3 linked regions of the Drosophila melanogaster genome follow. The protein of the gene in region 1 interacts with the protein of each later gene in a pairwise test. Each region holds a gene or a part of one and is shown in the gene's direction. Other genes may lie near its edges. The genes, in order: CG8079, Mettl14 and Prp3.

The links.
Region 2: the proteins of CG8079 (region 1) and Mettl14 interact in a two-hybrid assay, tested with the Drosophila melanogaster proteins (one large-scale study listed by BioGRID).
Region 3: the proteins of CG8079 (region 1) and Prp3 interact in a two-hybrid assay, tested with the Drosophila melanogaster proteins (one large-scale study listed by BioGRID).

The regions. Positions count from the first base shown.
Region 1 is NT_033778.4:15,216,532-15,220,284, forward strand, and holds the start of CG8079 (uncharacterized protein), read left to right. Parts: upstream 1-1,849; 5' UTR 1,850-1,932; coding exon 1,933-2,124; intron 2,125-2,181; coding exon 2,182-2,305; exon of another isoform or gene 2,306-2,368; coding exon of another isoform or gene 2,369-3,733; exon of another isoform or gene 3,734-3,753. Other genes in the region: CG11808 (uncharacterized protein), read left to right, coding at 1-347, 411-491; mRpL41 (mitochondrial ribosomal protein L41), read right to left, coding at 533-1,033; Hex-C (hexokinase C), read right to left, coding at 2,369-3,733.
Region 2 is NT_033779.5:8,306,850-8,310,602, forward strand, and holds Mettl14 (methyltransferase like 14), read left to right. Parts: upstream 1-1,577; 5' UTR 1,578-1,694; coding exon 1,695-1,760; intron 1,761-1,832; coding exon 1,833-2,349; intron 2,350-2,405; coding exon 2,406-3,016; 3' UTR 3,017-3,112; downstream 3,113-3,753. Other genes in the region: Ostgamma (oligosaccharide transferase gamma subunit), read right to left, coding at 57-219, 298-1,024, 1,134-1,220; CG7810 (uncharacterized protein), read right to left, coding at 3,180-3,753. UniProt on the Drosophila melanogaster protein: Non-catalytic component of the WMM complex, a complex that mediates N6-methyladenosine (m6A) methylation of mRNAs, a modification that plays a role in the efficiency of mRNA splicing and is required for sex determination.
Region 3 is NT_037436.4:19,908,572-19,912,324, forward strand, and holds the start of Prp3 (precursor RNA processing 3), read left to right. Parts: upstream 1-1,731; 5' UTR 1,732-1,906; coding exon 1,907-2,948; intron 2,949-3,002; coding exon 3,003-3,753. Other genes in the region: Mi-2, read right to left, coding at 1,472-1,508.

The DNA.
Region 1 (3,753 bases):
GGAGTAGTTCCCGCAGCACGCACAGCAAAAGCAGAACCAGGGATCATCACAAATCGCGGTCTATTTCGCAGAGGAAAACCAGGGGTCCAAGTTCGGAAAGCAATTCCCGATCCGCAACCACACCCGCAGCTGCTCCCGTGAAGGCCATCGATCTGTTCGACACCAAGGTGCAAAAGGCACTCGAGACTATAGACGAGGACACCTTCAAGCCGGAGTCATTTTTTAGCTCCAGGGATTCAAAGGAGACATCCGATAAGGTGATCATAGATCTGAACAATGAAACGGTCACAGTCGCCAGCAAGCCAGCCACTGCAGTCCGAAACGAAGATGTAATATTCCATCCGAACGTGAGTGGGTTACCTGGTGCTCGAATATACATGCTAATAGTATCTGATTTTCAATTCCGACAGTTCCTGGGCGACCCGGATATGAAGGCCGAGAAGTGGCTGCGCAAGCTGTACAATTACCGCCAAAAGTACATGCAGGAGTAGTCGAGTTTAGACTCTGTATTTAAGAAACAATAAACCTATGTCTAGAATATATCGCTGCCCGTCTTTCGAGCGCGTTGCAAGGCCTCCTCCGGAGTCAGTTGCTCATTGACCGAGGGCTCCTTGGCGCTGCCGTCCTTCTGCAGTTTTCCCGCCTTGAAATCTTCGATAATCTTCTGCGAGTAGACGGCGTTGAAGAGATCCAAGCTGGTGAACTCCGACTGGACGACGTCCGGCGCCTTATAGGACACGTATGGCTTTAGCTTACAACCGGTCAAATCGGGAACTATGATGTCCGGAATTTTCTCGGGAATCTCCACATACTGCCCGTCGACAAGTATGCCCGTGTCTCGTACACCTCGCTTGTGAATGGCTACCGGCGGATTGGCCAGTGTTTTCTGGGCTTCCTTTACCACGCGCGTACCGCGCTTGTTGTATGCGTTAAATTTACGGAAGTTCCGCTTGCCCTCCAGCACGGATGAAGTACTGATGGTCCTCTGCTGGCACCTTAGGGCAATGGGCACTACTTTAATACAATTATTCATTCTTATTTCGTTTTTCGGCGACCAAAATGGTTAAATAACAAATGTAGATGAGGGAACAGCTGTTTGGTTGGGTAGAGATGACACTTTTTTCGATAGACAATTAATCCCAGTTGGAAATGTATTGGAAGCCAATTTGCTATTAAACTACTTGTTTTTTTAAAAATACCGAAAAAGTTTTTTTTCTTTTAGGCCGTTGCCATATTTATTTTATCTTGATAAGAACTAAGTTGTTTTTTTTTTCAAAAACTAGGCATATTTTTTTTATGTGTAAAAGCAACCATCTCTTAATAAATCGATTAACTTTGCAGCCACCAGTGCTTAAAACGACTGTTAGTTGAAATGAAACTAGATGTTGGCGGATGTCGATGTTTTTGGCGAATAACATCGACGTTTTAAACATCGATGCTTTAAATAAAAATAATTGCTTTTTATTTTAATGTTGCTTAAATAAAACGTCAGTATTTGGTGTCCACCTTTTCATCCTCCGCTGGTCCAGTAATTGCTCCTATAAGACAAATGCACGTTTACATACATACATGTATATACATTTAGACGTGCATATGACATGCATTCATATGTGCAAGCCTTTTTCGGGTGTTAAAAACTTTCTTCTCAGATATTTTCCATGTCTATCACGACGCCACAATATGGTATTAATAATTGTATTAGAAGATATGGAAAATTAATTTGTACTTACAATTTATACGCTTTTCTCCTCAGATGCGATGTAGAGATGGAAAAACATCGATGATTCCTCGAAAACATCGATGAATGCGATTTTTTGAAAACATTGATGACATCCATGCTAGCATCGATGTTTCTCCATCTCTAGCTGAAACTCCCCAAATCGGCTTGTGATCCCTATAAAAAGTTGATTTAGATTCGACGGTTGTTAAACAATGTCGTTACCGGCTGAAGAGGAGGATTTGGCGGACACTGTCGCCAAGTACGATTCCATCGAATTGAAGAGCATACAGGACCTGGAAACCTGCGAGCAGCAACAACTACTGCAGTACGTCGAAAAGCTGCACGGGATTATCCGCAAATACGACACCAAACTGGCGTCCTATAAACAAAAACTCCTACACTACGTGAGTCCCAATTAAAGGTTGAGCTAAAATGGTCTTAATTTTTGATCTATTTTAAAGGTAAGCCGGGAAGAAAAGGTTTCGTGTGACAAAGCCAGCCAAGCAACTGAATCGGAATTACAAGAATGCCAGTATTCCATGGAAAACGATGAGGATACTAACAAAAAAGACCAGCCCAACGATTGTGAGTTAAAATTTGTTTTATTACACTGAGTCCTTCTATTATTGCTACAATAGTAGTGAGTTCCTACTTTGTTTTACTGGCCACCGCGGCCACCAGCGCAGCTCCACGTCCGGATCCGTCCTCCGAGAGCATGATGTCCCACTCCTTGTCTGCTTTCACCAGCTTTTGGAGTGTTTGCCTCATGTAGGCATCGAACTTTGGATGGTATCGGTAGACGGAGCCATCCATGCCGACTATCACGCGGCGGTTGGAAGTCCTGTTCACCAGCCCACTGACTCCGATGGCTACTAATGTAGCCGCTCGCTTAGCTACGCACTCGCAGATGTATCTCAGAGTCTGGCAGTCCTCCACGGAGGCCTTCTCTAGACCAAACAGATTTTTCACAATCTTCCTTGTGCTGGCAAACTCTGGGAAGGAGTCGTCCTCGATTTCCGAAATGTAGCGCGTCTCGAAAACCTCTTCGTTTCTCTGCAGCACGCTGGCGAATTCTGGACGTCGACTGCTCTGTTTAAAGATCAGCTTGCGCTCGAGGGCACGAAGTAGCACAAGGCGCACCAGGTTGCCCAAGTACATGCCCGCCGTCATCTTTTCGAACAGCTGCTCCGATCGGTTTAGAGACTTTTCGTCAACTTCGCGATCGTATTCGGTGCGCACAAAGTCCAACTGACCACCCTCACCAAAGGCGCCCCACTCAGCATTTACAATCACACTCCGCTTCGTTTTTTTAAAGTCTGCGCGCAATAGGTCCACATTCTCAACATCTTCAACGTAGCAGGCATTGCAGCCAGTTCCCACAATGACACCCACCCGGCAATCTGCATTACGATGGGCGCAGGACATCAAGGTGCCAGTGGTATCGTTGAGTATAGCCACCACGGCAATGTCGGCATCTCCGCGCCGCTGAATGGCCTCGTGCAGCATGCGGCCCACATCCTCGCCCTCAACCCCAGCACAATCGAATCCCTTAGTCCAGCGTACCAGGATGCCCTCCTTAAGGCCTAGTTGCACGCAAGGGAAGGAAAAAGTGAAGCCCAGTGGCAGATATGCGGTCTTCATGTCGTGTTTCTCCACAAATTTGGCCAGGCAGCCCGCAATGTGATCGAATAGGTCCACACCGGGCCCCACCATCAGGTCCTTTGGCACGGCATAGATCTGAGAATCCACCGTGGCGTCGTGGTGACCTTTCAGCGAGACGAGCAGTACTCGGAAGTTGGTACCGCCGAGATCCAGGGCCAGGTACTTGCCCATCTCGTCGCCCGTGGGCAGATCCTGCACGTACGTGGGAAAACACTTGACGTTGGCCTGTGGATGCGTGGACCGCTTAAGTCCACGGGCCACTTCCAGGCAAAAGCGACTGTACACTTCCTGCACCTGGTAATCACTCAACACAAAGGGTTGCATAAGTTCTCGCACCTCCGCGTCCAGCATTTTGCTTGGCTAATCTATCT
Region 2 (3,753 bases), on another chromosome or scaffold:
AAAGAGAAGCCAACTTAAATATGTGATAAATTGCTTGCAGGATAGTAATGACTGACCTATAGGGATAACCCTGCGCCTTCGAACGAAAAACGGACAACAGGAAGGAGAAGAACACGGTGAGGAGCACCAAACCAGTCATCGCCATTATCCTGTTCTTGTTGTGAGCCTTTGGTGTTCCCGATTCAATCAGCAGAATCATGCCCAGCACAATCATGGCATCTGTAATCAAAGTTATTAGTTAAATAGTCCAAAAATGGTCAACAGAACTAGAGTGAAGACTAAAGACTCAGGACTTACTCAGGAACATGACGATATAGGTCTCCACCACCAGCTGGCCCTGCGAGGAGCCATGGATGTAGGCCACGCCACCATTTTGCGACTTGTGGACCAGCGGTGGTCCACGGATATGATTCCACATTTGACCCGAGATCATGGCGAAGCAGAAGAATACTGCGATGGCACCCCACAGATTCTTGTTGTACAAGAACTCCAAGTTATTTCGCCGAATGTAAAGAAAACTTCCCACCAGGGCCACCAATGTGATCATGGCCACGGTGCCAGAATAGTTTGGTGGACGGAAAATGCGAATGGTGATGTCCGTTCGCTCGGCAACGAATTTCGCAATAGAATCGGCGGCGAAGCCGACGCGATGGATATCCATGGTGTCAGCTCCCTTTGGCTTGCCCTTGGCCGGGAAATGCATGAACACCGGGGCGGTGTTCAGGCGCAGAAGTTGGAAAACCTCGGAGCCGTCATCGAAATCCACCATAGCAAAGAAGAGTTTGTTGGAGTAAGTCGAGGAGAAGCGGTAGGAGTTGGCCACGATGGCGAACTCGTCGTGGGCGTGCCTACAGATCTGGCATTGTCTCGATGGAGCCAATGCGGTGAGCATTACGATCATCGAGTAATTCCGTGGTGCACTCTTCACATACTCCCGAAACTTGGGTCCATTGAAGCGGAGCAGCGGCTTTTTGGCGTTCATGTCCACCAGGTTTTGTACTTTTTCCGACAGCGAGAGTCCCGTCTGAAAGGCATAAGATACCCATTAATAACATGCTGCATATTCCTCTAGCCGGCTTTCTGGGATGTGGAGCTAGAATGTCCACCGAAAAGTGACGTGGCCACAAACAAACCTTCGATTTTGATTGCGCGGCTGCGTAAATAGCGAATAACGCCACTACCAGCAGACCGCTGAGCAGCGTCTTGTGCAGCAGTCTCATTCTGCAGGCGATTTAATTAACAATCTCACTACTTTAACGCAAAATCACAGAAAAAACGTTTAATCAAAAATATTTTTTCCGGCGCATGCAGCTGATTGTGAATGGCAAGCGAAAACTATGCACGTTTACTGTGAATGGCAACATTGGTTGGTTTTACCTCAAGGAAGAAATAAATATTTATATCGATATAAAAAAGTAAACGAAGTTAGATTTTTAAAATTTGACTTTTTATAAGTCAGTAAAACAATATGCAAATCGTTTTAGTTGAATTCTTTAAAATGTATTTTCATATAAATAAGTTATCCCCTTAATTAGTTTAATAAGTATTATATTGTTGCGTGGGTCTAGTGTTATCGATACCGCAATAATCAGAATGCCGCCACTAGACGGCAAATTTTGTTGTCTTTAATTTTTAGTTTTCTTAAAATTGCGATTTAAAATATAGTACAGTACGTTTTTACTGCATATATTAGTATGAGCGATGTGCTAAAGAGCTCCCAGGAGCGATCCCGCAAGCGTCGTTTGCTTTTAGCGCAAACTGTAAGTATTCACACTGTGGAAAAAGCAGTCGGCGTCGAGTTTAACTCATAATTTATGTATTTCCTAACTCAGTTGGGCTTGTCGAGCGTCGACGATCTGAAAAAGGCTTTGGGTAATGCCGAAGACATTAACAGTAGTCGCCAGCTGAATTCCGGTGGGCAACGCGAGGAGGAGGATGGTGGCGCCTCTTCCTCCAAGAAAACCCCCAATGAAATCATCTATAGGGACTCCTCGACCTTCCTGAAGGGAACCCAGTCTTCCAATCCGCACAATGACTACTGCCAGCACTTTGTGGACACCGGTCAGCGTCCCCAGAACTTCATCCGTGATGTCGGCCTAGCTGACCGCTTCGAGGAGTATCCCAAGTTGAGGGAACTGATCAAACTGAAGGACAAACTCATCCAAGACACCGCATCCGCACCTATGTACTTAAAGGCGGATCTGAAATCGCTAGATGTCAAGACGCTGGGCGCCAAGTTTGATGTTATTTTGATTGAGCCGCCGCTAGAGGAATATGCCAGGGCAGCACCTTCTGTAGCCACTGTAGGTGGGGCACCGCGGGTTTTCTGGAACTGGGATGATATACTTAGTAAGTTCCCAGTCAAGCATCCATTAATGTAACCTAATAACTTTGAATTCTGCTAGATTTGGATGTGGGCGAGATAGCTGCTCATCGTTCGTTTGTATTCCTTTGGTGCGGATCCTCGGAGGGCTTGGACATGGGCCGCAACTGCCTGAAGAAGTGGGGATTCCGGAGGTGCGAAGACATATGTTGGATACGGACCAACATTAACAAGCCCGGGCACTCCAAGCAACTTGAACCGAAAGCGGTCTTTCAACGCACCAAGGAACACTGCCTGATGGGAATCAAAGGAACTGTTCGCCGCTCCACTGATGGCGATTTTATCCATGCCAACGTGGACATTGATTTAATCATCTCAGAGGAAGAGGAGTTTGGCAGCTTCGAGAAGCCCATCGAGATCTTTCACATCATCGAACATTTCTGCTTGGGTCGACGGCGTTTGCATCTGTTCGGCAGAGATTCGAGTATTCGACCAGGTTGGCTAACTGTTGGTCCGGAACTGACGAACTCGAACTTCAACTCCGAGCTATACCAGACCTACTTTGCTGAGGCTCCAGCCACCGGTTGCACTAGTAGGATTGAACTACTGAGGCCCAAGAGTCCGCCGCCGAATAGCAAAGTTTTAAGAGGAAGAGGACGCGGCTTTCCACGTGGTCGTGGAAGGCCCAGATAACAGCATTTTTACTCAACAACTGCGTGTATTCTAGTGTCTAAGATCAAAAGTTTTTAAGGCTAAGAATAAGATTAACATTAAAGTCTATTGCTGCAGAATGCTGAGTATCCTATCGATTTCCAGGGTTTTCTTTGGATGCCGAGCGACCAGCAGCTTTCATTTATTATCCGTGACTATTCTGGAGACTGTGATGATTGCTTAGATGCCTCATGTAGATATCCAAGTCATCTTCGCTAGATATAGCATTCTCATCCGCAGCATGCTCCTCCAATTCCTCCTCGTCCTCGCTATCCTCAAAGTAGGCATCTTCTTCATCCTGCTCAATTTGCTTCAGATCATCCAGCAAAGTGTTATCATCTACGGCCTTATAATCAAAATCCTTGTCTTCGCCACTAAGAAAGCGTTCCTTCATCATACTCAAGAACTCATTGCGTAGTAGTTCTCGCTCTCCAGGATTATAGAACTCCGGTGTGGAGATCATAGTTGTATTCATTGGAGCTCGGACTTCCGCATTTCGACTCGTTGAACAGGCCACTGGTTCATCATCTTCAAATCCACCCCACTGCTTTCGGCAAGCGACAGGAACGTCACAGTCTGCCTGAGGATTGGATTCACTTGTGACCTGCACGCTCTGCTTTCCTTCCTGCTGCGTTTCCTCTAGTAATTCATCTCTTTGCTTTTTCTCCAACGTATGCATTAGTATTCCTGAGAAGCTAGTATTCCGAACATCGTAACTA
Region 3 (3,753 bases), on another chromosome or scaffold:
CGGCATATTGTTTATCAGTTTTCCTATGAACTACTACTACATTCCAGCAATTTCCTCGCGAGACGGGCACCTTCCCATCCCATCCCTTGGCATCGTCTCTTTTCCACACTCTACTTTTCTCCTTCTTCATCTTACTTGTGTGTTGGCATATTTTGATTAACTCGTTAAAAAGACTATACTTTAGTTGTTTTGCAGGCACTTCGGTAGGATTGCATTGGTAGCTATATTTTTGTTGTTGTTTTTAACTAAATTTAATTTAAACGCGTCGGGTTTCTGTGAGTTTTTTTTTATCATATACGTTGGAGCGACAGAGACGGGGCGACGGCGACGTTTGGCTGGAGCGCGCGTGCATAACACGCACACACACAGAGACGCAAGTACGCGAGAGAGTGGAGAAATCAATCAAGAGAGCACGTCGGCGAAGGGGGAGTGGAAAAAATCACATATGTATGTGCGTCAGTGGAAGTGCGACAAGATTTTCCACAATATTCCACGCATCTTTGTTTCGTTTCTTTAGATATATGCACATATTGCTTCGTTTTCTTTTTGCATTGCTTTCTTACACAATTTATAATATATATATGCATATTTTGTGGTAATTTCAGGTTTTTATTTTTTGCACACACTTTTCATCATTCTTTTTTCGCTTTTCCTTCAGTTGGATATATTACGCACTGGATTTGTGGCTTTACACTGGCAATCGGTAGGCGGTGGCGAGTAATGCACGTATTCCCCTTAATTAACAGTTTTCTCTACAATTAATAATGTAATCTCTTTAACAAAAACTCAGAAATCACGTCATGGCTGCCACGTCCAAGCAACAATGAATGTAAATGGTGGCAGATGAGGCCGTCTGGGCATTCTCGACTAGCTCCAAAAGGGGCACACTATTTTTCTGGTGATACCATTGCACAGCCGATGATAACACTGCATATACGGTAACACCACAATAAGTGTGAACTAAAATGAATTTTCCGTATATTACAATTGACACTTGACAATTCACAGGTAAAGTAAACATCTTAATTGCTAAAGAACTTAAGATAAAACTTAATTTTAAAGGATTTACAGAGTATTCCACTCAAAACTTTCGACCAAAACAACCATGTAAAACATATGTTTTGATGAGTGAGCAGGACGTCTATATATTGCCTGCATTCGCGAATGGAGGGAACACAAAAATGCAATAAAAAATATGTGTGGAATGGAGGAGGCGCAAAAGACCCCAAAAAAACGCGCCACACATGTACAAATTTCACCAATTGCTGTAATACAAATAGTTTATAACGAGGTACAGCAATGACAATGACCAATTAGGATAATAGGCAACAATAAACAATGGGAGGGGGACGCAGCACGCTGCGCGGCTTTGCGGCTCTTGAACATGACCACGGTTCTTAGCCTGACCGAGCGACGGTCGGACCGAGTTTTTTTCACGCCGACATTTGGCCGACTGAAACAATGCACTTACCCTGGAAATTATCGTCATTCTCTTCCTCCGATGCCATTGTAGCACTCGAATGCAACTTTTACACTGTTTGAGCACACGAAATTGTCTTAATTTCCACAACAAATAATTAAGCACACACAGACACGACGAGAAAAAAATAGTCAATTGTAAGCGGCTTCAACAAATATGGCGGAGCGGAGAGCGACAAAAAGTGAGAGAACTAGGGTTGCACCCCGATAAAAGAAAGCGAAACGGTCACACTGGCGACATGACAACCCTGACTTTTATGTTTTTTTAACGACCCTGTCCTAACGTGTTTCGGAGAATTTTTCACCAAAGACCAAAAACCTTGTGTATTGTTTTTGAATTGCAAATCGCTGATTTAAGCTCAAGGAATGTGCCAAGCAGTTGGTAAATAACATTTACTTTTTAGTCCGACCCATTTAATTGCGAATTATGTCGTCCATTATCACGCGCAAGGATGGCGACGACCAGAAATTGTCCAAAAAGCGCGCTGCCGCCTCAGATTCCAAAAGTGGTGGTGGAAGCGCCCTTGAAGCGCCCAAGAAATCCCGCTTCGATGTCCCGGAAAAGAATGGCGGCGGTGGTGAGAAGAAAGAAGAGGTCGCCGTGCCCGCCTCGCTGAGTTCCACGCAGATCAAGCTGATGATGGCCCATGCCCAGCGGGAGATCGAGGAACGCAAGCGGGCCCTGAGTAATCTAAGAGACAAGGATCCGCTGCTGGCGTCAGTTCCATCGATCGGAATGCCAGTTGCCTTAGCCACTCAAGCGCTGGCGAAGAAGCCCACGCCCGAGGACTCGGAGAAGGCCAGGAAGATTGCCGAGTTGCAGGCACAGATCAGGGCCAAGCTTACTGGCAATTTGGCTAGTTTGATTCAGCCCACTGCGGTAGCGGCCGCCGCTGCAGCTGCTGCTCAAGCGCAGGAGCGACCCAAACCCCTGATTCTGGACGATGAAGGACGCACTGTGGACAAGAGCGGACGTACCATTAATATTCCCACGGTGACACCTACATTGAAAGCCAACATACGCGCCAAGAAACGGGAGGTGTTCCAACGCCAAACGGGTTTGGGTGAACGGAGTGAATCGGGCACTTCGGCCCAGGAAGAAGCTATTAAGTACTTTGACGACCGCATAGCCCTGAAGCCCACTGTTAGAACCAAGAGGACGTTGAGATTCCACGAGCCCGGAAAGTTCCAGCAGCTGGCCGAACGAATGCGCATGAAAAGCCAGCTGGAGCGACTACAGAATGAGATTTCGCAAATAGCCCGGAAAACGGGCATCTCGTCGGCCACCAAACTGGCATTGATTGCCCCCAAGCAGGACATGCCGGACGATGTGCCTGCCATGGAGTGGTGGGACTCAGTTATACTGACCCAGGATCTGGAGACGGTAGACGACGCAAGCGGTAAGATAAGCATACGCCAAACAGCCATAACCAACCTTATAGAGCATCCCACACAAATGAAGCCGCCAAGTAAGTTGAAAGCTAGAACATGTCCCACAAGCAACTAACCACCTACTCCTTCAGATGAGCCCTTGAAACCAGTGTATCTGCCGGTTTTCCTCACAAAGAAAGAGCGCAAAAAGCTTCGTCGCCAGAACCGTCGCGAGGCCTGGAAGGAGGAGCAGGAGAAGATCCGACTGGGTTTGGTGGCCCCACCAGAGCCGAAACTGCGCATATCCAACCTGATGCGTGTGCTTGGCTCGGAGGCCGTACAAGATCCGACCAAAATGGAGCAGCATGTGCGCGACCAGATGGCCAAGCGGCAGAAGGCGCACGAAGATGCCAACAATGCGCGCAAGCTGACCAGCGAGCAGAAGAGCGAAAAGAAGCAGCGCAAGCTGAGGGAAGACACCAGCTGCGGTGTACATGTCAGCGTCTATCGCATACGAGATCTGCAGGACAACCAGAGCAAGAAATTCAAGGTGGAGACCAATGCCAAGCAGCTGCAGATGACCGGCAGCGTGGTGTTGTTCCGGGATTGCTGTGTGGTTGTCGTGGAGGGTGGGCCCAAGCAGCAGAAAAAGTATCGCAGGCTCATGCTAACGCGCATTAAGTGGGAGGAGGACAACGCCAAGGGCAATGACGGCCAGGACGTGCCGAACTCATGCGTACTCGTCTGGGAGGGGACTAGTCAGCGACGGCACTTTGGCGAGATCAAGTTTAAGATCTTTCCAATGGAAAAAATGGCCCGTGAGTTTTTTCAGAAGCACCAGGTCGAACACTACTGGGATCTGGCCTACTCCGGAGCCGTGCTTGAGGCCTCCACGGATCAGCA